Linked DNA regions of Bombyx mori. The protein of the gene in region 5 purifies or fractionates together with the protein of the main gene of each other region. This does not show direct contact. Links are inferred from orthologs where the notes say so. Each region holds a gene or a part of one and is shown on either strand. Other genes may lie near its edges.

Region 1 (2,600 bases), on a different chromosome or scaffold from region 5:
TGGTTTTATTTAAGGCTTTATGCGATTTGCGATTAAGAATTTAACTTCAATAGAAAGCGGAAAAATCTATATCTTTGCTTATTGACAAAGGCATGTGAACAAAAAAATTGCTACTGCTAAAGAATATTTGTACTTATATAGCGGAAACAAAGCAGACCTCCATTTTTTTATAAACAAATGTAGCTTCTTTTTAGACGACTTGTGCCTTATTTGTTCAGTTAACAGTGTATTTACACCACATAGTGATTGTCATCACCTATATCACGTGAAATTCTCAGTAGATAACATTGTAATTCAGCTGTCCTATACTTCAAATCGAACTGAAAAACCATTTCACTGTACTGTTTGAATAGACACAAGCACTTGTTGATGAAAAGATTATCAGGGAGGATGCCACAATTGTAAAAGTTCATAATTGTAAAGTTCTACTTTTTATGTTTAAATAGCAAAAGATCCTGGTCCTTTTTGTTCCTAAAAGCATCAATAAATAAAATACGTTATTTTATTAAAATATTGTATTCGACACAAAATAATTTCCTTACACGTCTATTTATACTTAAACTAATAGTCTTTCGATTTCTTGCTGAATAGTTTGGATCTGAGGCTTTAGTTGTGAGCCCTCATTGATGGTTATCGAGCAAGATATGATGGGTCTGGAAACACCGCAAGCACGACCGAGTGCTTGCTTAGACCTAACAAACACATATGGCACATTCTTATCTTCGCACAGAATTGGAATGTGAAGAACAATTTCGAGAGGTTCGGCATCTGCTGCCATTATGATGAGCTCAGATAGACCACGATTAAGGGTCTTTGTGGCCTCGTTCGCGCCTTTACGAAGTTGCTTGTAATTGGTAGCTTGTTGCACCAAGTTCAGGATTTTAGCGGTTAAGGCGGCATCCGCCAATGGGTATGCCTTGGGGTTCACTGCAGCTTCGGTTTCAGCCTGTGAAAGTAGATTATTAAAGTTATGAACAGTTTAGATGTTCTAGGTAGTTAGAATGTAATCAATCTCAAGATAACCTCAAATATTCACATGAGTTCAAATTGCAACCGTATTTTGGATATCACATGATTGAAAGTTTCAATTTGAAACTGATTAATGAAAAAACTGACTTATTATAGGTAAATTAATACCAAGAAGATCGCTAACACGTGCAACTTACCATGTTTACAATGCCGCGGTGTTGAATTAATAAAACTCAACCTCTCGGCGATCTCTCGCTTCACTGAGGAAATAATCTTCACGTAAGGGAGAGAAAATTTAGGTATTTGCCACAATTCTACACTTAAATCACAAATATTTTGTGTATAAATATTATTAACGATTCTGATACTGTTGTTTCAAAGACACGCGGGTTGTGGCTTCTTTGACATTTGTTTTTTTGGTTATATTTTTTTTCATTTTAATAATCAGAGGCAACATGAATTATACAGCTTTACATTTTAATAGTATAGGGTAGTCATTTTTTATGTAAAATTAAATGTATGGTGCAGAATAATTTACCCAACGTTTGAAAAAAAAAACAAAATATTTATAACGACTTACTAAATAGTTCAATTACGAGTTTTTTTTCAAATTTCAATTTTATGACTTTTCGTATAGGTACAGTAATGTAGTACTTAGTTCTGTTTCTCCCACTAAAAAGGCGAAGGTATCACATCCTACAGACTAATCTTTTGTAAATGCTGTATTTAAATGAAATTAGTTTAAAGAACAATAATATGGAGCGAAATAAAATGAAGTTGATTAATTTGACATTAATCAATTGGGAAGTAATTAAACGAAACGAGATTATATCGGATGAAATTTAGTCCTAGTAAAATAGTGGTTATTTACTGAGACTATTTCAGGGAACTTTCTGGAAGATCACGAGAAGCTACGTCCAACGGCTTTATTTAATTTTCTCACATGTTGTCTACTTTTACAGATATTAAACTGCTAATAAAGTACTGTTAATACACAATGAAACCTAAAGAAACACTAAATTAACAAAATAAAACAACTCACACAACTACACTCCTCGCGTTCCCGCCAAAGTTTGTTCGTATTTAACGAACTTTTTACTGCTAAGGGTTTGACTGGGTTTTTTTTTAAGGCTTATATAGGTGGACGAGCTCACAGCCCACCTGGTATTAAATGGTTACCGGAGCCCATAGACATCGACAACGTAAATGCGCCTCCCACCTTGAGATATAAGTTCTAAGGTCTCAGAATAGTTACAACGGCTGCCCCACCCTTCAAACCGAAACGCATTACTGCTTCACAGCAAAAATAGGCAGGGTGATTGTACCTACCCGTGCGGACTCACAAGAGGCTCTACTACCAGTAGTGTTGATAAGCTGATACTCTTTGGGTTCACAATACGCGTTATCACCAAAACTGAAGTGGACACTGAAGAGATGACTAAAATGACTCAGAACTCACCTGTCTTTAGGTGGGCACCGAAGCCATAGAAGCTACCAGCGAATAGATCAAATACAATAAATAGAAATCACAATTTTAATGCCAACTTTAAACACGAAATAAAAGTCTATCACCAGTAGAGAGTTGGTGTCTAATCATCCATTTTTTCCAGAAGATTTTGAACAAGTCATCC
Region 2 (3,500 bases), on a different chromosome or scaffold from region 5:
AGTCCACACGGGTAGGTACCACCACTCCGCCTATTTCTGCCGTGAAGCAGTAATGCGTTCCGGTTTGAAGGGTGGGGTAGCCGTTGTAACTATACTAAGAAGTTAGAACTAATATCTCAAGGTGGGTGGCGCATTAACGTTGTAGATGTCTATGGGCTCCAGTAACCACTTAACACCAGGTGAGCTGTGAGCTCGTCCACCCATCTAAGCAATAAAAAAAAAGATGTTGGGTATAAGGTGAAAAAAAGAACAGATTAAAACAACAAATTTTATTTAACAAACCATCACCAAAATATTCGAGATTTTTTTTACTACATGAGAATTGCTACCAAAGAACTTATTTCACAAACAACAAAAAGGAACTTAAGGAAAATTTCTACACCCACTTAAACAAATTGGGCTAAAAAAGATTAAGCCTTTTCAATTTGACATATTCATACATTTATAGGTACTCTGTTTATAAAACTATTTTTATTTAGTTACATTTAAATAATTTCTAATAAATTGAAACTATTTTCATGGATGGAGATAATTTTCGAGGTATGATTTCGAAGGAAATGTTTTATTAGGATCTATTTTGAAGATGATTATTTGCACTTTAATTCGGCCAAAATACATGTTTTTTTTAAATCCATAATAATATTTTAGTTTGTCCATGCTAAACCGCTAATTAGATGAACCAACTCTTAATGCATCTTTGAAAACCTACTTTTCATTTATTTAAAGTATATAACGATGTAATTCTGGTTAGTATACTCTCCAAACAAACTATGTATAATTATTTAATTCTAAATTTAGAGCAGAGTACCTCTGACAATTAATTTAGATAATAATAAAATAAATGTAAAATGTATGCAAAAGATCTTTCAATTACCTATGCAAATATTGCATTCGAGACTCAAGGAAATAATTTATCACAATCATCACTTGATTCCTATTTTTAACTAGGTAAAACAAGCTTTACAAAGAACTAGGAGACCTCATAGGGATTTCACAATTAGAAATAAAAAGATAACATACACATTTAAAAATTATAAACAATATAAAACTGAGCAAGATTTGAGGTTGTTTTATATACTTTGGCACAATTCACATTTCACCTAACGTTAAGGTAGCTCTTACAGACTAATTCGTGTAGTTCTCTTCATAATCCAAAATGTAATTTAATTTCTGTTATAGTTTAATCTTAAATGTTCAATTTACACTAACAGATTTGCTTTTAATTATCGTGACCGATACGCATGTAAGTATGCAACAAGGTATTGCCTGCATTCTCAATGTAAGGCTTTCGTAAGCGTTCGACTTAGTGAAGATTACGTCAATCTATTTACACAGTTTACTTCTGCTTAAGAATGAATGGCTTTAAAAACTTATGTAAAACTTAAACATGAAATGACATCTAGTGTGTTTTGATAAAAAGAAACGCAAGTAGATCTGTGTGCTTAGTGCGAGTTTTTTAACGTTCTCGATAGCGTAAAAGTTAGCTTATATTTGTACGGAATGGAATCGTTTGCCTACGTTTACCGCTAGGGGCGCTGTTCTAACTGCATACAAAATTGGGTTAACCTTTACACTATCGAGAACGTTAAAAAACTCGCACTAAGCACACTGCACCTTGAGATTAAAATCTGCGGTTCCATTGCTACGCACAGGAACGTTTGGTATGTTTTACTTAGCTTCACTTTATATGAAGAACGGCATGTAAGTCACAGTTTGATGTTGTCGTTAACCCCTCGTTTATATTAAACACCCGACAGCGCGTGGGGCGTTTTAGCAACGTCAGTTAAAACGTAAATATGCTGCGTAAGGAATAGACACGCAGATGTAGAAACGTATACATTTCTGGACGCCGGACGCGCGTGTGATTTTTGCGTACATGCTACGCAGCAATGGAATCGAAAAGAGAGAAAACATGCAAACAAAGAGAAGTGTTTTTAAATGTGAATACCTAGTAGGACGTGCCAGTTATATTTGAATAGGGGATTAGACTGCGCTGTTGTGTAGCGTCCCGGTGACGAGCGCGGGCACGATGGCGCCGGCCGGCAGCCGGGGGTGCGCGGGGGAGGCGGCCGGCAACTCCACCAGCACGCTCGCACCGCACGCGCTCAACAGACGACTACTGCACTGTACGACATAAACATAAACTTCATATTAAAATTTATGCCCTCCCTGCACATACACGAAGTAGTTTCGACTACCTGTCGGATTCACTGTGTTAATTTAATTTTAATGCGTTCAACGCCGTGCGGCCCACCGGTGAGCCTGGCTTACTATAAAATTCGGGCCTAGACCAAAATCAGGGAATCCGTAATTTTTATCCTATGCCTCTTTCTATGGCATAGGATAATAATGCCTATTTCTGCGGTGAAGCAGTAATGCGATCCGATTTGAAGGGGGGGGGGGGGGGGGGCAGCCCTTGTAAGTATACTGAGACCCTATAACTCATATCTCATGTGGCGGCATTTACATTGTAGATATCCAAGGGCTCTATGGGCTGGCCAAAAAAAAAAAGTTACCTGGTTGCCCAACAACTTCACAGTGGGCATGTCGTCGTCCTGGGACACGTCGATGTCGGCCCGCGCGTACTCCGGGCGGGGGTCGAGCGCGACGCCGTGCGCGAGCTTGGCGCGGAGTCTGGGCCACGAGCCCCTCTTGCCGCTGCACACGCGCAGACCTCGGATCACGAACAGCAAACAGCAAACGTAGGCAGAAACTGGATTACCTATCGAACAATTAATAAATTACATTATTTTTTCTCGTTAAAATATCGGAGTATTAAATACCCGATTCTTGCAACTTCCAAAAAGGAATCCGAAATTCCCAGTGCACTTTATTAGTCTAAGACGATCTGTTCTATAAGTGTTGAACAGTGATTGCGTGATTGGTGTTTGTTGCCTGTGTTAACTTTGTATATTATTGTTTCTTCTTCTAGTATGTCTATTAGAACAAACCGTCTCCGTTGCAGCAAATATAATGGATGGCTGGTTCAATATATCTGCTATATTATATAATTTAATAAATATTAATACAAATAACAAAGAAATGTTTTACCAGGCAATGCAAAAATAAATTTAGTTTTTCCTTCAAACTGGCATGTTGCAAAAGTCGACGGCTTGCCGGGCTTCATGCGAACGCGTCCATAGTGAAGTGTTGCACCGAAATCCTGAAGTCAGAATTTAAAACAATTCGACACAAATTTAAACAATTTAATAGTAACCACGGCTAGTCCTTCAAACTGAAACGCTTACTGCTTCCCGGCAGAAACAGGCAGGGTGGTGGTACCTACCCGTGCAGGCTCACAAGAAGCCCTACCACCAACACTAAAAAATCTCTAAGTCATCCAGCAAGTAGGTATATACCAGTTAAAGTCTTATCTTTATTGGTTCTAGATTTTTTTCTAATCTATTGTACAGAGTTTCTTCACAATCGAATAGAAAGTATTGGAACGCACGGATGACAACAAGAAATTCAAAACAATTTTTATTTCGAATCGGAGGTCA
Region 3 (3,500 bases), on a different chromosome or scaffold from region 5:
TCTTGTTTACGCTTTTCTTTCTCTCTCTTGTCACGATATTCTTTATCTTCTATTTCTCTCTTCTTCTCCATTTCTCTTCTGCTTTCTCTGTTAATGATATCACGTAAGTCTTCTTCTTGCCGACGAGGTTTATGTTTTTCTGAAATCTTGTCCTTGCTTGATTTGTGTTTGCTCCTATGTTTATGATCTTTCTTGGATTTTTTCGGTTCGGGCGATTCCACATCGTCATTTATACAAATAATTTCATCAGGTTTGTCATCTTTGGCGTCAATACTTTCTTCGTCACTTTTATCAGAAAAATATGCTACAAGTCTAGCTTGTAATAGTTCTTTTTGTCTCATGAGTTCTTCTAAATTAAGATCGTCTTCGATCATTGTTAGTTCGGGACTTGCACAATCTTCCTGATAATTTTCTGTTTCAGAATTTGATGATATTATTTCTAACGTGTCCTCTTTGATTTCTACTATTCTATTGTGATTCTTATAATGGGAATTAGTGTCCCCATTTTGAGAAGCCCGACGTATTGTACTTATAGAATCTATCAAAGGAGAATGTAATTCAGAGTTGTTGCCAGTTTTCGACTGACACCGTTTGGATTTGTTGATCAAATCTTCAACATCAGATAAGGAAGTTTCACTCTCCGGTTCTCGGCTCTGTTGTTTCACCTTTTTAGATTTCTTTTTCTTTTTATGTAAATTTACAGAATCCTCTTCATCGGCAGTCGGTCTTTTGTGTTTTTTATGTTTCTTGCTTTTCTTTTTCTTTTTTCCATCTTCTTCATAATTATCACCATTAGTTATGTCATCTAACTTAGACCTGAGAAATAAATAAAACGTGGTACTTACAAATAGCTCTTTCGGTCGTATTTTATCTTCTTTAGTTCCTTTTACAACATATTCAACAATTCTGTAATATCACAGGAATTAATCGGTATTGAAGGAGTATATGTGATTGTTAAATACAACAAAATTCCTTCAAAACGCAATATACCTGGTTTCCAAATTACTTGTATTAATTAACTCGATTGATATATTAATATTCATTTCGGAACTGCTCATATTGATGAAGGAACAGATTTTGTATTTTGACTTTGCATTTTTTTATTTGTTTATTTATTGTTCATTTGATTGACATTGCCAATTATGACATTAACTTTCTACAATTACCTACGAAACATAGACCACAAAATGAGTAATGATCCGCTATGACAGATTTCAGGGCGATAATGTGTGTATATATGTGTATGAATATTTAAGAAATTAAATGAACAATAATTGAAATTCTTAGAGATTCTAGCATATAAAATATATTTTTTAAACAGTTAAAAAAGAAATCTTGCCCATTGTTCTGTTTTCATGTTTTTATGTTCTGATTAAATGTATATGATTTTTTTTGTTGCATTGTTGGATAGACGAGCTCACAGCCCACCTGGTGTTAAGTGGTTACTGGAGCCCATAGACATATACAACGTAAATGCGCCACCCACCTCGAGATATAAGTTCTAAGGTCTCAGTATAGTTACAACGGCTACCCCCACCCTTCGAACCGAAACGCATTACTGCTTCACGGCGGAAATAGGCGGAGTGGTGGTACCTACCCGTGCGGACTCCCAAGAGGTCCTACCACCAGTGATTAAGCAAATTATAATTTTTGCGGGTCTGATTTTTATTACACGATGTTATTCCTTCACCGTGGAAGTCAATCGTGAATATTTGTTGAGTACGTATGTCATTAGAAAAATTGGTACCCGCCTGCGGGATTCGAACACCGGTGCATCGCTACATACGAATGCACCGGACGTCTTATCCTTTAGGCCACGACGACTTCAACGATTAAATTAACGACGACGATTGAATTATGAGAATTTATATTTTGTCTGTATAATAGAAAATAGTGAAAGTTACCTTCGATTTAGTTTTACTTACTCTTTTCCCATTTTAAATCTGGCACTGTCACTGTTCAAGTTCACAGTATTCTGCAACAAAATTTAGATAAAATTACTATGAAACACTTCAATCAATATACAAAATATTTATTGATCCTTTTTATAATTTTATGCTGATAGAGTAACTGCGGATTAAGATGGCCTTAAGTTAAGCCTAAAAGTTCTATGTGTTGCTTAATTGTATTTTTATTGACTAGTAGCTGACCCGGAAAACGTTGTTTTGTCATATATAAGATTTCTAGGGAAATTATAGTGTAGAAAAAAAGTATCTTATTGTAAGTGTGTAAGGATGTGGTAAATGAGTGAAAGAGGCCTGTAGCGCTGTGAACGATTAGGGAGTATAAAAATAACAAAACCTCATTCAACCACATACCTAGGTAATGCCTCATTATAACAAAAAAAAATGTCCAAAAATAAAAATAAATGTTAGGGGTAGACAACCCTTATCACTTATGGGTATGAAAAATAGATAGTAGCCGATTCTCAGACCTACTGAACATGCATATGGTAACTAACATTGTGACATGAGAATTTTATATATAAGATTGTAAATAAATAATTATTGCACTGGAAATTAATGATAATTTTACGATGACAGTAAAATTAACATGAGAGTTGCACAGAAAAATTAAAATAATAGGTATAACAGTTACTGCTACGATAGATACACAAATAAAACCAAAAAAAACTGGCCGAAAAATGTATAGTGAGTATGACAGGAGACCGGCTTTGTCCTCATCCCTACTACGTGATGTGTGCTGGATGAGTGGTAACCCCTGGCGGGGATAACTGATCGATTGATAGTTGATCAGTAATCGACCGGCGAAGGCGGGAGATCAAATTGAATTTAAAAAAAAATCATAATTAAAGGAACTTGAAATTCTAAACTCTGAATACGAATTTATCGTACTACAATTATAATATTTGATTGCCATCTTGCAACCTTATTGCGGAACTGTGCATAGAATAAAAAAAATAAAAATTGGGATGGAAAAACAGGGGTTGATCGTATAAGAGTGAAAATTAGAGTAATATGAATTTTTTTATTTAAGTTTTTAATTAACAAATAAAAAATAAGGGTTGATCATAGAGGGATGAAAATTTAGGGTTGTATGTATTTTTGTATGCTGTATCATAAAAAAATAAAAACAAAAATCTTTGTCAAAAAAATAAAATAAAAAATTTAGGGGTGGACCCTTAAGATTTAGGGGGATGAAAAATAGATGTTATTTGATTCTCCACCCTGGCCGATATGCACGCTAAGATTCACGAAAATCGGTCGAGCGGTTGCGGAGAAGTTCAATCACGCACCACGTGACATGAGAATTTTATATATTAGAAGTAGTAATAACCATAAACACAGCTGAATAATGGACAACAGAATACAAATAAAAAATCAATGTAAAATAATGTCAATATTAACAAGCACCTTATCAATTTTCTATCATCATACGCTTTGCGGGAAAGGAATGGAGCATCTTCTCTCAAAAGTTGAGAAAAATTAAAGGATTTTTTCAATAAACATACCACTAATGGCTTAAGGTTTTGTACTGGG
Region 4 (4,024 bases), on a different chromosome or scaffold from region 5:
AGCGATCCTATACTCCCCCCAATTTATTTGGATGGGACTCAAATAACTCTAACCGATTCAGTTAAAAACCTGGGTGTATGGATCGACATCTTTCGTGGAGTTCTCACGTTGCTGAGATTAGTAGGAAGGTGCACTTCGCCTTGCACTCGTTGAGATGTCTGCAGGGCTTCTTACCTCAGCATACAAAAATATCTCTCGTCCAAGCTCTCATTCTACCCATAATTGATTACGCCGATGCCTGCTACTTGGATGCCACTGAGGAGCTCTCAAACAAGCTTGAGAGGATGCAAAATCTATGTATCCGTTTTATATACAATCTCAGAAAATTCGATCATGTTTCACATTTTCGCAAAGAACTTAAATGGCTCCCTATACGCCTTCGTAGGAATACTCGAATATTATGTCTCCTATTCAATATCCTACATAAGCCCACTTCTCCCTTATATTTACGTGAGCGATTCTCTTTCATTCGTTCTCCTGATGCTCCCTGCAGGTCCAACCAACGTTCTGTTTTGTTATTCCCTTCTCACAAAACCAATTTCTATTCTCACTCCTTTACTGTGCACGCGGTCAGACTGTGGAATTCGTTGCCGGCTGACATCCGAGTTTGCAAGTCTGTTTCTGTTTTTAAATACAAGGTCAAACAATTTTATCTCTCATCAACCGAGTGATCATGGTTCTATACTCTTCGTATATACGAGTGTTACTGTGACTTATAATATTTTGTACTCAAGTTTAACAATATTTGGTATGTGTAAGTGCATTACTATAATTCTCATGTTGTATTTGTTGTTTTAGTTATGTATTATTTGTTCTACACACACTTATCACTTTTTATTATTATTCTCATTATCCTCTCGCAGGTTTGCTGGAAGAGATTTCTTAAAGAAATAAGCAGTGCCTTTGTACATAATTTTCCTATTACTCTGTACTATGTCTTTTTTTCTGTGTGTACATAAATAAATAAAATAAATAAATAAGTTATTCCTTCACCGTGGAAGTCAATCCAGAATATTAGTTGAGTATGTATTTCATTAGAAAAATTGGTACCCACCTGAGATTCGAACACCGATGCATCACTCAACACGAATGCACCGAACGTCTTATCCTTTAGGCCCCGACGACTTTTTTATCAAGGTATGTTGCTTAACACTCAGCTAAGCAGTTTCCCTGGCGAAAGTCGACGAAATGCGGTTTGAAGTGCTTGATCTTTTTTTTTGGACTGGGGGCCGAACTTTCTAGGAATACCCCGCCCCTAGGGGCGCATGGGGTATGGGAGTGAACCGCGGGCCTTCTTTTTGTTTTTTTTTAACGCTGTAGAATCCGTACGGTTACCCGGTTGAGGGGGCTTACTGACCGCTACGACTCCACGAAACCCACAATACCGCGCCGAAAGTCCGCCTTCGCCGGTACCGCGGGCCTAAAGGATAGAATTTAGGGCCATACCCACTACACAACTCCCCTGCACTCTCGCCCAATCGTCTGATACCCTTCCAGGTCAGAACCCGGGTGAGGTAAAGGGGTTATCGCGGTCAACACTACAGACAGCGCAGCTCCCCCGAGGACGTCCGGTCGACGGAGCCTTTGAGACGGAATGCTCTACAGCCGTCAGCCGTCTGGGTACGATAGCCCGTCAGGCCACCCACACAGTGCGACTGGAGTCCCGGAATACCCCGCTGGACTAGAACCAGGCTGTCGGGTCGGGATGCGATACATCGCCAACCGGTTGCTCTTTTTTCACGTTGATTGTGTAATTCTTCGGTAGCGCACTACAGTGCTTCAGCTGAAGCAACATCTATTTTTTTCTAATCCAAAAGTGTGACAGTTTTTTTTCGCAAAATAACTCCCGAGTGCTATTTAAACAGTTTGTACAGACAGTTGTTTGTTTGTTAAATAAATACATATACATAAATATATACATATAAAAATGTGTATATATAAATAAATATCAATTAGATGACTCTGCTAACTCTTAGCAGAGTCATCTAATTGATTCTAAGTACTCGAAACCTTGTCTTAAACTCTGGCCGACCTTATTTTAAGTGGGAGCGCATTCCATAGAAGAATAGATTGAATAGTGAAGGAAGAATGTAAAAAGTCCGAACTACCTGCGAACTAACAGCGAAGAAGAAGATTGTGAGATGAACGAAGATTTTGGCTGTAGTCAAACCCTAAGTATTCAGGTGGATTTGGGAAGTGCAACAAAGAGTAAAGAGTACTGAGAGCACGCAAGCTACGGCGTTGTCGAATGGGGAGCAATTTGAGTTGGGAGCGATGAGAAGATACATGATCGTATTTCCGAAGATTATAAATAAATCGAATGCAGTTATTGAGAAGCCGGTTAAGTTTATTGAGTAGATCTGCATTCAGGTCAAAGTAGCACACATCACCATAGTCGATCATGGGGAAGATCAAAGTTTAAACGAGCATTGTCTCTTGGTTTCGGGCGGAAGGATATTGTTCAGGCGGTAAAGCATACGGAGTGTAAGTGTAACTCACTGACACACGGAGATGACCTGGGCTCGCCAACTCAGGCTGGAGTCAATAAGTAGGCCTAGGTCCTTTACAACCGAACACCAGTTGATGGTTAAGCCAGCATATATTATTTGATAATAATATAAGACGACTGTGATATAAAAACTTTATTTAGTGTTTGAGCCATCATATATATTAACGGTAAGTCTCAATTGTTATTGGTTTTAATGTTTTTTGATAATTTAAAAATACATATTAAAATTGTTATGTTTGGGGTTAATGGGGTCACCTGAGCTACAAATAACAATGAAAGGGAGGTCAATTGGGACGACAATAAGTTGAATGGGAACGACTTAAGTATAAATACGTACAGGATTGTAGGGTTGTCTATGTAGTTATAACAATCTTTTTTAAACGTGTTGGTAAGAATCTCATTTATTCATGATGTTTTTGTCTAAAACTTTTATTTAATTATTAGTGCAATTATATTTATATTATCAGTTACGTATTGTTTTCTATTTTTAGATATGCCTCGCGTGTATGTATCAAAGAGTGCAAGCTTTATAAGAGATATGATCCCTTAATATTAAAAACAGCAATAGAAGACTATGAATTTGGGAATAAGTCTTTAGTTGAAATAGCTAAGCAATTTAATATAAGTAAGTCGGTTTTGCACAGATATATAACAATTAAATCTCAAAGTGGACAAAAATGTCTAAGTAAAGAAGAAGAAAAATACAGTTACACACATATTAAACAGTTAATAAACCACCATTATTACATATCTAAACCCGAAGAAACACTAAATAGACAAAATAAAACAAATCACACAACTTCACCCCTCGCGTTCCCGCCAAAAAGTCCTAAAACCAAACATCGTAGTCATAGACATAGATTATACACTTAAATATTCGAGTCATTGATACACATAATAAAATTAATAATTGAGATTTGAGACCATACCTTGATAGACATAAAAACATTGATTTCATTGATAGCGTACCTAACACACGGCAACAGACACACAATCACAATTAAGAAGAGGTACCAACCGTGTACCAACCTAGTTGAATCTGATTCACTCAATTTGAGTTCACCTATTCAAGAAAAGGCGCCCAAAATATTATTAGGGTGAGGATGAGTAAAACTTTGCTTAGTGTTCAATGATAATTTAGGAATGTGCCTATAGTTTAAAGTCTTTGTTAGATAAACCCAAATATTTTTTAATGTTTTTAATTAAAATTTGTTCCTTTTAGTTACTTTACCAAAATGTCAAAGCGTCCCGCTTCCGAAGCATTAATAGACGAAGTAAAAAAGGCCACGAAGGATGGCAAGAAACATTCCTTGGATTCCGACGAAGAAGATAGTGGTGCTGAAGAAGAGAAGAATAATGTTATGAACTCCAATGATATTGAAGGTGAAGAGGAAGGAACTGGTGGAATGGAAGGTGAAGTGAGTAGAATAAGTCAAAAACCTAATCAGAATACTCAAATTGTTGTGAGAATTAAAAAATGTTTCTTTTTCCAAACAATACTTAAAATGCTTTTGA
Region 5 (3,500 bases):
CCTAGGGGGATAAGATGGAGACAAAGAAGAAGAATTAGTTAACAATTAATACATTTTGCGTTTGCATTGATGCGTTTCCGATCCGGTGGTAGATTCTGCGAAGCACGGCTCTTGCTGGGGTTCGTGTTAGCAACGTCGTCAGGTTTGAGCTCCGTGAGCTCACCTACTAGTTTAAAAAAAAAAAAAAAATGCATGCCCGCTGAGTTTCTTGCCAGTTCTTCTCAAGACGGGGACTACTTTTTATGAATTGGCGGTAGATTTGATTTGATTAAAGTTACGCTGAAATAGCCTCTCAAGGCTATCTATCAGCTTAGGTAAAAAAAAAGAAGAAAAATATCGGCAAAGACCCTCACCAGCTCGAAGTGATCAGCATCTTGCTGTCCTGGCTGAACCTGCAGAAGCTCAGCGGCCTCGTGTCCCCGATCTGATGAAGAGCACCACAGATTTATGTGCTGAGCTGCCCCGCACGCTTAGGGCCGCCACGAGGTGGCCACGTGCTCAGGTTTGGAACGAGACAGCCCTGACACGAGAACCTTGTGACTGCGACATCACGTGGGCCTAGCCGGTAAAAACTAAGACGTTCCGTTTTTGCAGGATATCCGTTGCAGCACCATGGTTCCTAAGGAATGGCGGTAGGACCTCTTGTGAGTCCGCGCGGGTAGGTACCACCACCTTGCCTATTTCTGCCGTGAAGCAGTAATGCGTTTCGCTAATTTACTAGGATACGTAACATCACAGGGTCATAGTCGGCCATTTTGATCCTAGTTCTATATTACCCACCCCACTGGCCCCCACCACTGCAACTTCTGAGGGTCCACAGCGACGACCGTCCAACGAAGTGCGTTCACTTGGGAGGGAGACAGTGGGGGGGGGTGTAGCAGGAACTTAGGTACCCTCTATCCCCCACGACCTGGGCCTCACCTGGCTGCAGTAAATGCTAAAGGCAGACGCCTTCCGTTGCGACTCCTGCTTAGCGGCGGCGCGCACACTGCCAGCCAACTTGAGTTCCTCGCGGGCTTTGTTTAGCCTGTAACAATAATCGAGTAACTTACACGAGTCCATAGACATGTCGCGCCCCCCAGTGGTGGTGGATTTACACTAGGGGCGATCGGGGAAAGTGCCCAGGGTGGTAATTTTTGAAAGTGAAAAAAATTTTTTTTTCTTGTCGAGATTGCTCAATATAATTAATTAATAATTTTCTTTTTTATTGATAATTCAAGAAATTCAATTCACTCATGAATAGAATTATAACTTTGGCACTTTTGGTAAAAATTAATAATCAAAATTGATTTAATCAATTTATTTCCTTGAGATTTTTTAATAATAATCGATCTTCTATTTTCTGTAATTAAAGAAATTTAATTAGTTTTTTTTTTATGTAATATATTCTAAGGAAAGAAGACGGAAGTGGGCGTGGCCTGCTGACGTAATACAGCAGCGACTTCAGACTGGTCGGAGTTGAAGAGGGGAGTTGAGGACACCACTAACATATTGCCTCGTTCACGGCCTCTTTCTGATCTCAGCACCAGGGATAGACGGACGTTGTACATTCGCGTGTCAACTTAGTTACCCACATTTTGTCATTAGTATTTAAAATCAATAATTGTTGAAAATTGTATTTTGTATCGTTCTAATTATATTTTTTTAATATTTTGAGTCGTGATTTCTAATTATATTATTATTATTAGTCACCCTTTAGTGCAAAATTTAAGATTGTTAGAAAAAAAAACAAAAATATTTATTTACATTTTTGGAATATATGACATAAAATATGATAAAGTTTCTGCAATAAATTAGATATTTTAATTTTTTTAAATAAAATATATTAACTATAAGTTTAAGTAAAATTCCAGTATTAGGGCGGATTTTTTTTCCGATAACCAGGAGCGCGGCATTAAGTTTAAATCCGGCCCTGCGCACCCCCCATCATAATTTAAGACACCAGAATGAATCCACAATATTTCTATATATATCGAGTGGTGTAAGGCTCTTTAGTTTAAGAGACATTTATCTTTGTAATCAAAGGTCCGTTTTATATTTCGAATCAGCATCAACATTTCGATATTTTTAATTGAACTAGCGGTCACCCAGTAGTCGAAATTCGACTATAATTAATTGAATTTATAAGTTTGTATACTATTATGATTGTATTTTATACTTCTATAATCACAAATTTCGCCAAGACTACACTATAAAAAATATTAATAAAGACAAACAATATTTAATCTCAATTTGACAACAGACGTCAAGAACAAAAGTTTGACAATAAATAGTATGCATGCGTGTGTGCGTCAAATACATGGTATGTAGGGTATGTAATGTTTTCTTTTATGCAGTATTTAAAAAAAATATTAGCATTGTGCACTCCTTCTCTAAATTCTCTATAAGTGTGAGAAATTTCATGCTCCTCCATCCCCAAATTTTTCGTAAAAAGGGATACAAAGTTTTTGCTTCACGTATTAATATATAGATTAAGTTTACTCCATTCGAATAGCTGAAGAAGTTTGTTTTGTTAAAATATTATTTTGGCAAATTTTTAAAACTTTAAATAGATCTCCTGTAATATTGCAAAAATGTCGCCTGAACCAAACAGCCTTTTACCCTTCGTTACCTAACCTTAGAGGGGACAGCAAGGAGGTTCCGGAAGTAATGAAAATGATGACACAGCCAAGATATCACAGTCGGGTAGAGTCGAATTAATTGAAACTGACCTTTTTTTGGCGTTAGGCAGGGAGTACCTGGCTATCCAAATCCTCGCTTGCCTCAAGGTCGGGGGACCTTCGTGGTACCAGGTACCTTCTCTACCTCTGTCTCTTTCCAGGCGTGCTTCTTCCTCTTCTAGCTTCTTATTGATAGCATCTTCGCCGAGACTGAAAATAAAAATGAAATAATTAAATTCGTGTAATAAAAATAAAACCCGCAAAATTATAATTTGCGTAATTACTGGTGGTAGGACCTCTTGTGAGTCCGCGCGGGTAGGTACCACCGCCCTGCCTATTTCTGTCGTGAAGCAGTAAAGCGTTTCGGTTTGAAGGGCGGGGCAGCCGTTGTAACTATACTGAGACCTTAGAACTTATATCTCAAGGTGGGTGGCGACATTTACGTTGTGGATGTCTATGGGCTCCAGTAAACACTTAACACCAGGTGGGCTGTGAGCTCGTCCACCCATCTAAGCAATAAAAAAATATAAAGCCAAATGAAGACTAGAAAAGCTTTGTTAAATCTTTAAAATTCAACAATTAATTCATTTTTATATTTATCAATTTGTTTTAGTATTACACTTTATTACCAAATGCTGATCACCATGATATGGTGAATAGGAATTTATTCACAATTCAACATCAGGAAATTGCGTCTTTTTTGCTTGCGATCAGCAGAGACCTCCTGAGCACTAACCCAGCTGCCCCAGAAAACCAGTCAGTTGCTTCAGATTACCCATGACACCCCCATTATACCATTACAGTCCAGAAACTCCATTAGCAAATCGAGATAAACAAATT
Region 6 (4,300 bases), on a different chromosome or scaffold from region 5:
AGTAGGATTTTTTTTTTTTTTTTTATTACTTTCGATAGGCGGACGATCTTACGGCTCATCTGATGGGAAATGATAACCGTCGCCCATAGACATCCAAACTACATCAGTGACTCAGATGCGCTGCCTATCCTGGCCTGGATGGGCAGCCTTATGTATGTTACACCGGCTATCCTGTCCTTCAGACCGGAACACAGTATTACTGTTTTGCGGCAGAAATAGACAGGACGGTGGTACCAACCCGGGCGGGCTTCTACACAGAACCCTACCACCAGTGAAGTAAGTATTCAGATCCAGGCCACTGCCCCAGCATTGGTGATTTCCATGAGCAATTGTTACCACTCACAGTAAGGTAAGCTTTGTCTGGTTAAGTAGAAAAAGTACTTGAATAGCTAGAATAACTAAAACACCGAAATATTTCGTTTTTAAAGCAGTTAGAATTTAAATGTTCTGAAGTTAAATGTACTCACAGTAGCAATCACAGGTTGCCTTATAGAATAAATTGGCAATTAGTTCTTCAGACTGTGAAATATTCTCTTCTGTTCGGAGCCACAAGAGCCAATGATCAACTTTTATAACTGACATCTCCCATAATCTTTCAAACGCCGTTCGCCATTGCCCCAGTTCCGATAGACGCCTGAAAATTTGATATGCTTTGTTTTTGGCAAATACATATCTATAAATTATAAAATTCTAACTCACATGTTTAATAAAAAAACAAGATTTGAAACACTTTGGGATTCCCCGCTCTAAATGAAGTAATATTAAATTTGATTAAAGGAAAATTTCTGATCAAAACATTTTAGGAACAAATTATTAAAAAAAAAACTTATTTGAGAAATTCAATATAATAATTACCACAAAGTCTGGATCAATTCAATGTGATCATCATAATTAAAAGGATGTAATGTGATTTTGTGTTCATATTCGGCCACTTTCCTCTGCCAATCTCCCATCTCCAATATTTCATCCTAAAATTTATTATTTCTGAATATTGTAAACATTTTCAATTTTTACTTTGCTTGGATATTGCACAAGTTATAATAAATATTCACACTCCTTGGAGGTTTGAAATAACTAGTTACTAAGATAGTTTTTCTTGTATCACTCGATTATGTTTCAATAATTTATACACATGACCATATTCTCAATTATTCACTTCCTTGAATTATAATTTAATGAGCTCAGTAAATTACATTTAAGAAGATAGTAATAAACTTTATAATTTTGTGAAACTTATGTATTAGGTGCACAACGAAATTCTTGCTATTTATTAATATGTGGCTTCAACAATAAATGCTGGTCAATTTTGATGGAATTATGATCACAAATAAAAAACATTGCCGGGAAATGTTTTCAAACTCAATTAATGAGATTAAGTCGGACACTGCTTGAGAAAAAAGATCAATTACTTGAGGACCATATACAAACAATATATTATCTTTGAATACCTTCTCATTTCCTTATTTTGTTAAAATCTTATGTTTTTATTTTTAATTAGTAAGGGTTGTGTTTTCATTCAAGGCAACCGTGTCATCCCAACCCTGTATGCTAACTACAAATTTTATAACAATAAAACGTTTTTTTCAAGACTGTAAAGCAACTGGCTAGATTATATTAAAACTTTATTTTGGACATCCAACCCTCTTGACAGCAACTGTGGGGTTATAATAACAATATTATAAGCACAGAAAATTATTTTACTATATATATTTTAACATTGTTTAATAGTTATACGTTTCTCATTTTATTTATTGATAAATTTTATCTTGTGTGTCCATGAAAAATGTAACTGAATTGTATTTGAAGCATAGGAATAAGACAAATATCTTAGAAACACAGGGATTAACAGTGCATATGTTGAGTCCATCCTGTTGCTGAAAGTGAAATTTGCAAAATGCCAGTGGAGTTTAAGCTTTAGACATTAAATTGCTCGATTAAATCATAAAAGAAGTTTTAGTTATATCTATGACCTTTGAAAAATGAAGAAAATACTTTTATATTATATTATCTTTAAATTGACCCAAAACTTAATTTACATCTAGACATTTGTGCCTACAATTATTAGCAGAGTTTACGTTTTCATTCCAATTCATTGGAACTAAACTGAGACCTTAGTACTTATATCTCAAGGTGGGTGGCGCATTTACGTTGTAGATATCTATGGGCTCCAGTAACCACTTAACACTAGGTGGGCAGTGAGCTCGTCCACCTATCTGTGTAATAAAAAACTAAAAAAATATAAACAAAAAAAACAATGAACCAAAATTTCATTTTTTTTATTTGTTTAAACTTCCCTTTACATATGCTATTGGTGTCACAATAAGGTAGATATTTTTATAGTTAAGTTTGTACAGCTACATACTAAAGAAAGCAAATATACAAAACATGTTTACATTCTATTATGATACATTGTATTATGATTTCAAAATTAGGTTCAATTTGTATTTTTAAATGGAGTTAATAATTACAAATTATAATTTGCTTTGGTAAAACGTAGAATCACATGTATTAAAATGAAAACCGGCTAATTAACTTGAAATACAGACAAAGTATCATTTTGTAAATTAAAATCAGAATAGCTTACATCAGAATCTGGATCCTGGTCGCCATCATCTTCTTCAACCACAACTTCAATTTCATTTTCCCCTTCAGAACCGTTCTGAATTTCGTCTTCTACTATCGCCATTGTTTATCACACGAGAGTAATCAATAACTGTGTAGTTTTGTATTTGTTAAATTCACAAACGAACGAATAATGGCGATTGGCAGAATGTGATTGTGGAGGTATTTGTCAATTGTCAAAATAAAGTAGTGGTTCCATTTTTCTAACTGGAAAGGCAACGAAATCCGACCATACAACCTAATTTTTGTATTTTCTGTTTTATAAAAACTAAAAGGAACGAAATGAAATTAAGTTGATTAATTTGAGACATTACTCAATTGTGATAAAATTATGAAACGACATGATATGCGATAAAATATAGTCTCAGTGAAATGATGATTTTTTACGTAGACTTTTTGGAAGATCCCGAGAAGCTATCGAATTTACTTATCATGCAATTTAAGAAAAACGGGTTAATTAACAAATTGTGAACTTAAACATACTTACAGAAAAATAGTGAAAATTATTGAAAATTGGATTAACTTTTTAGAAAATATTTGGGAGATTTTGTTCCTTTTTCCAATATTTGTGGACTTTTAGAAATATTAGACAGTGAACAAACCACCAATGGTCAGACCTGAGGTTTATCTGAAGAATCTGATCTAAAGAATCTCTAAATTAATAAAATCTCAAAACTCCAATGCTTACCTTGGCTATACTGTTGCCTGTAAATGTGGTAGAAGGCGTCTCACCTTATAATTATCGCAGGTGGTAATGAGTCACAGCTACTTGGATCTTCTTTTTTTTTCCCTACCTATTTGCTAGTGGCATAGATAAGATATATATACCGGGTTGGTGGCCTACGGGGCTAAAGTCCATTCCCGATCCTGCGAACCGAATGGAAAGCAGTCGACGTCGCCCAAAACACACCATTACGGATCCTCCCCATCCACTAACGATGCTTTTAGGTACCTCAAGCACCGGTCACCGTCCTCGCCAAACCCGTAGTTTGCGACGAAGGGCTCGGCGAGTAAATTAACCCACAGACACAGCCCACTGAGTTTCTCGCCGGATCTTCTCAGTGGGCCGCGTTTCAGATCCAGTGGTAGATTCTGCGAAGCACGGCTCTTGCTAGGATCCATGTTAGCAACGTCGTCAGGTTTGAGCCCCATGAGCTCACCTACATGTTAGGGCGAAGCTGAAATAGCCTCTCAAGTTTATCAGCACAGGTAAAAAAAAAATGCGGGCCTATATTTAGCTTCGCATGGACTGGTTGGTAAGCTCACGGGCTCAGCCTGAGAGAATTTGTCAACGCCAGCCCTAGTAGAAGCAGTGCTTGCTTCGCAGAATTTACCACTGGACCGAAATTGCAACCCATTGTGATGATCCGGGGGGATACTCAGTGGTCTGCCATGAACCAAGACGAGGACGATGCCCGGTGCTTGAAGAGCCCAAAAGACCGTTACTTATACCGTGTCGCTGGGCACACGATTGACTTTTGTAAGTTCATCCACAGATTATTGAGTCCACCATCTCGCAGGTGGAAATGACGGAACGCAAGTTACGTAAGTGAAAGTGGTAGCGATAGTTTATGATGCAGTTTTTTTAATCTTTCCACTTGCTACTATAGCGCCGCCTCAATTTTCTCTCTTTCAGCGGACACTTATAATATAGTTACTTTCCTCTTTGGCGATGCGT

The links.
Region 1: the proteins of U4/U6 small nuclear ribonucleoprotein Prp4 (region 5) and RpL7Ae purify together in Homo sapiens (affinity purification with mass spectrometry; 4 studies listed by BioGRID and IntAct, counting the BioPlex papers as one, with this or other methods). This does not show direct contact. The link is inferred for Bombyx mori from reciprocal best matches to the Homo sapiens genes PRPF4 and SNU13.
Region 2: the proteins of U4/U6 small nuclear ribonucleoprotein Prp4 (region 5) and gephyrin purify together in Homo sapiens (affinity purification with mass spectrometry; 3 studies listed by BioGRID and IntAct, counting the BioPlex papers as one, with this or other methods). This does not show direct contact. The link is inferred for Bombyx mori from reciprocal best matches to the Homo sapiens genes PRPF4 and GPHN.
Region 3: the proteins of U4/U6 small nuclear ribonucleoprotein Prp4 (region 5) and serine/threonine-protein kinase PRP4 homolog purify together in Homo sapiens (affinity purification with mass spectrometry; 3 studies listed by BioGRID and IntAct, with this or other methods). This does not show direct contact. The link is inferred for Bombyx mori from reciprocal best matches to the Homo sapiens genes PRPF4 and PRP4K.
Region 4: the proteins of U4/U6 small nuclear ribonucleoprotein Prp4 (region 5) and CD2 antigen cytoplasmic tail-binding protein 2 homolog purify together in Homo sapiens (affinity purification with mass spectrometry; 3 studies listed by BioGRID and IntAct, with this or other methods). This does not show direct contact. The link is inferred for Bombyx mori from reciprocal best matches to the Homo sapiens genes PRPF4 and CD2BP2.
Region 6: the proteins of U4/U6 small nuclear ribonucleoprotein Prp4 (region 5) and squamous cell carcinoma antigen recognized by T-cells 3 purify together in Homo sapiens (affinity purification with mass spectrometry; 5 studies listed by BioGRID and IntAct, counting the BioPlex papers as one, with this or other methods). This does not show direct contact. The link is inferred for Bombyx mori from reciprocal best matches to the Homo sapiens genes PRPF4 and SART3.

What each region holds. Positions count from the first base shown.
Region 1 is NC_085117.1:6,325,518-6,328,117, reverse strand, and holds RpL7Ae (ribosomal protein L7Ae), read right to left. Parts: upstream 1,375-2,600; 5' UTR 1,170-1,374; coding exon 1,167-1,169; intron 947-1,166; coding exon 557-946; 3' UTR 501-556; downstream 1-500.
Region 2 is NC_085122.1:5,872,652-5,876,151, reverse strand, and holds the end of gephyrin, read right to left. Parts: intron 3,164-3,500; coding exon 3,052-3,163; intron 2,723-3,051; coding exon 2,517-2,722; intron 2,125-2,516; coding exon 1,984-2,124; 3' UTR 255-1,983; downstream 1-254. UniProt on the Homo sapiens protein: Microtubule-associated protein involved in membrane protein-cytoskeleton interactions. It is thought to anchor the inhibitory glycine receptor (GLYR) to subsynaptic microtubules.
Region 3 is NC_085107.1:3,222,865-3,226,364, forward strand, and holds part of serine/threonine-protein kinase PRP4 homolog, read right to left. Parts: intron 1,976-3,500; 5' UTR 1,937-1,975; coding exon 1,926-1,936; intron 817-1,925; coding exon 1-816. UniProt on the Homo sapiens protein: Serine/threonine kinase involved in spliceosomal assembly as well as mitosis and signaling regulation. Connects chromatin mediated regulation of transcription and pre-mRNA splicing.
Region 4 is NC_085111.1:10,749,928-10,753,951, reverse strand, and holds the start of CD2 antigen cytoplasmic tail-binding protein 2 homolog, read left to right. Parts: upstream 1-1,224; 5' UTR 1,225-2,676; intron 2,677-3,000; 5' UTR 3,001-3,134; intron 3,135-3,360; exon of another isoform or gene 3,361-3,606; intron 3,607-3,731; 5' UTR 3,732-3,744; coding exon 3,745-3,927; intron 3,928-4,024. UniProt on the Homo sapiens protein: Involved in pre-mRNA splicing as component of the U5 snRNP complex that is involved in spliceosome assembly.
Region 5 is NC_085130.1:18,540,135-18,543,634, forward strand, and holds part of U4/U6 small nuclear ribonucleoprotein Prp4, read right to left. Parts: intron 2,871-3,500; coding exon 2,712-2,870; intron 1,657-2,711; exon of another isoform or gene 1,028-1,656; coding exon 922-1,027; exon of another isoform or gene 425-921; coding exon 354-424; exon of another isoform or gene 1-353. UniProt on the Homo sapiens protein: Plays a role in pre-mRNA splicing as component of the U4/U6-U5 tri-snRNP complex that is involved in spliceosome assembly, and as component of the precatalytic spliceosome (spliceosome B complex).
Region 6 is NC_085122.1:6,475,722-6,480,021, forward strand, and holds the start of squamous cell carcinoma antigen recognized by T-cells 3, read right to left. Parts: upstream 2,801-4,300; 5' UTR 2,687-2,800; coding exon 2,585-2,686; intron 969-2,584; coding exon 856-968; intron 635-855; coding exon 468-634; intron 1-467. UniProt on the Homo sapiens protein: U6 snRNP-binding protein that functions as a recycling factor of the splicing machinery. Promotes the initial reassembly of U4 and U6 snRNPs following their ejection from the spliceosome during its maturation.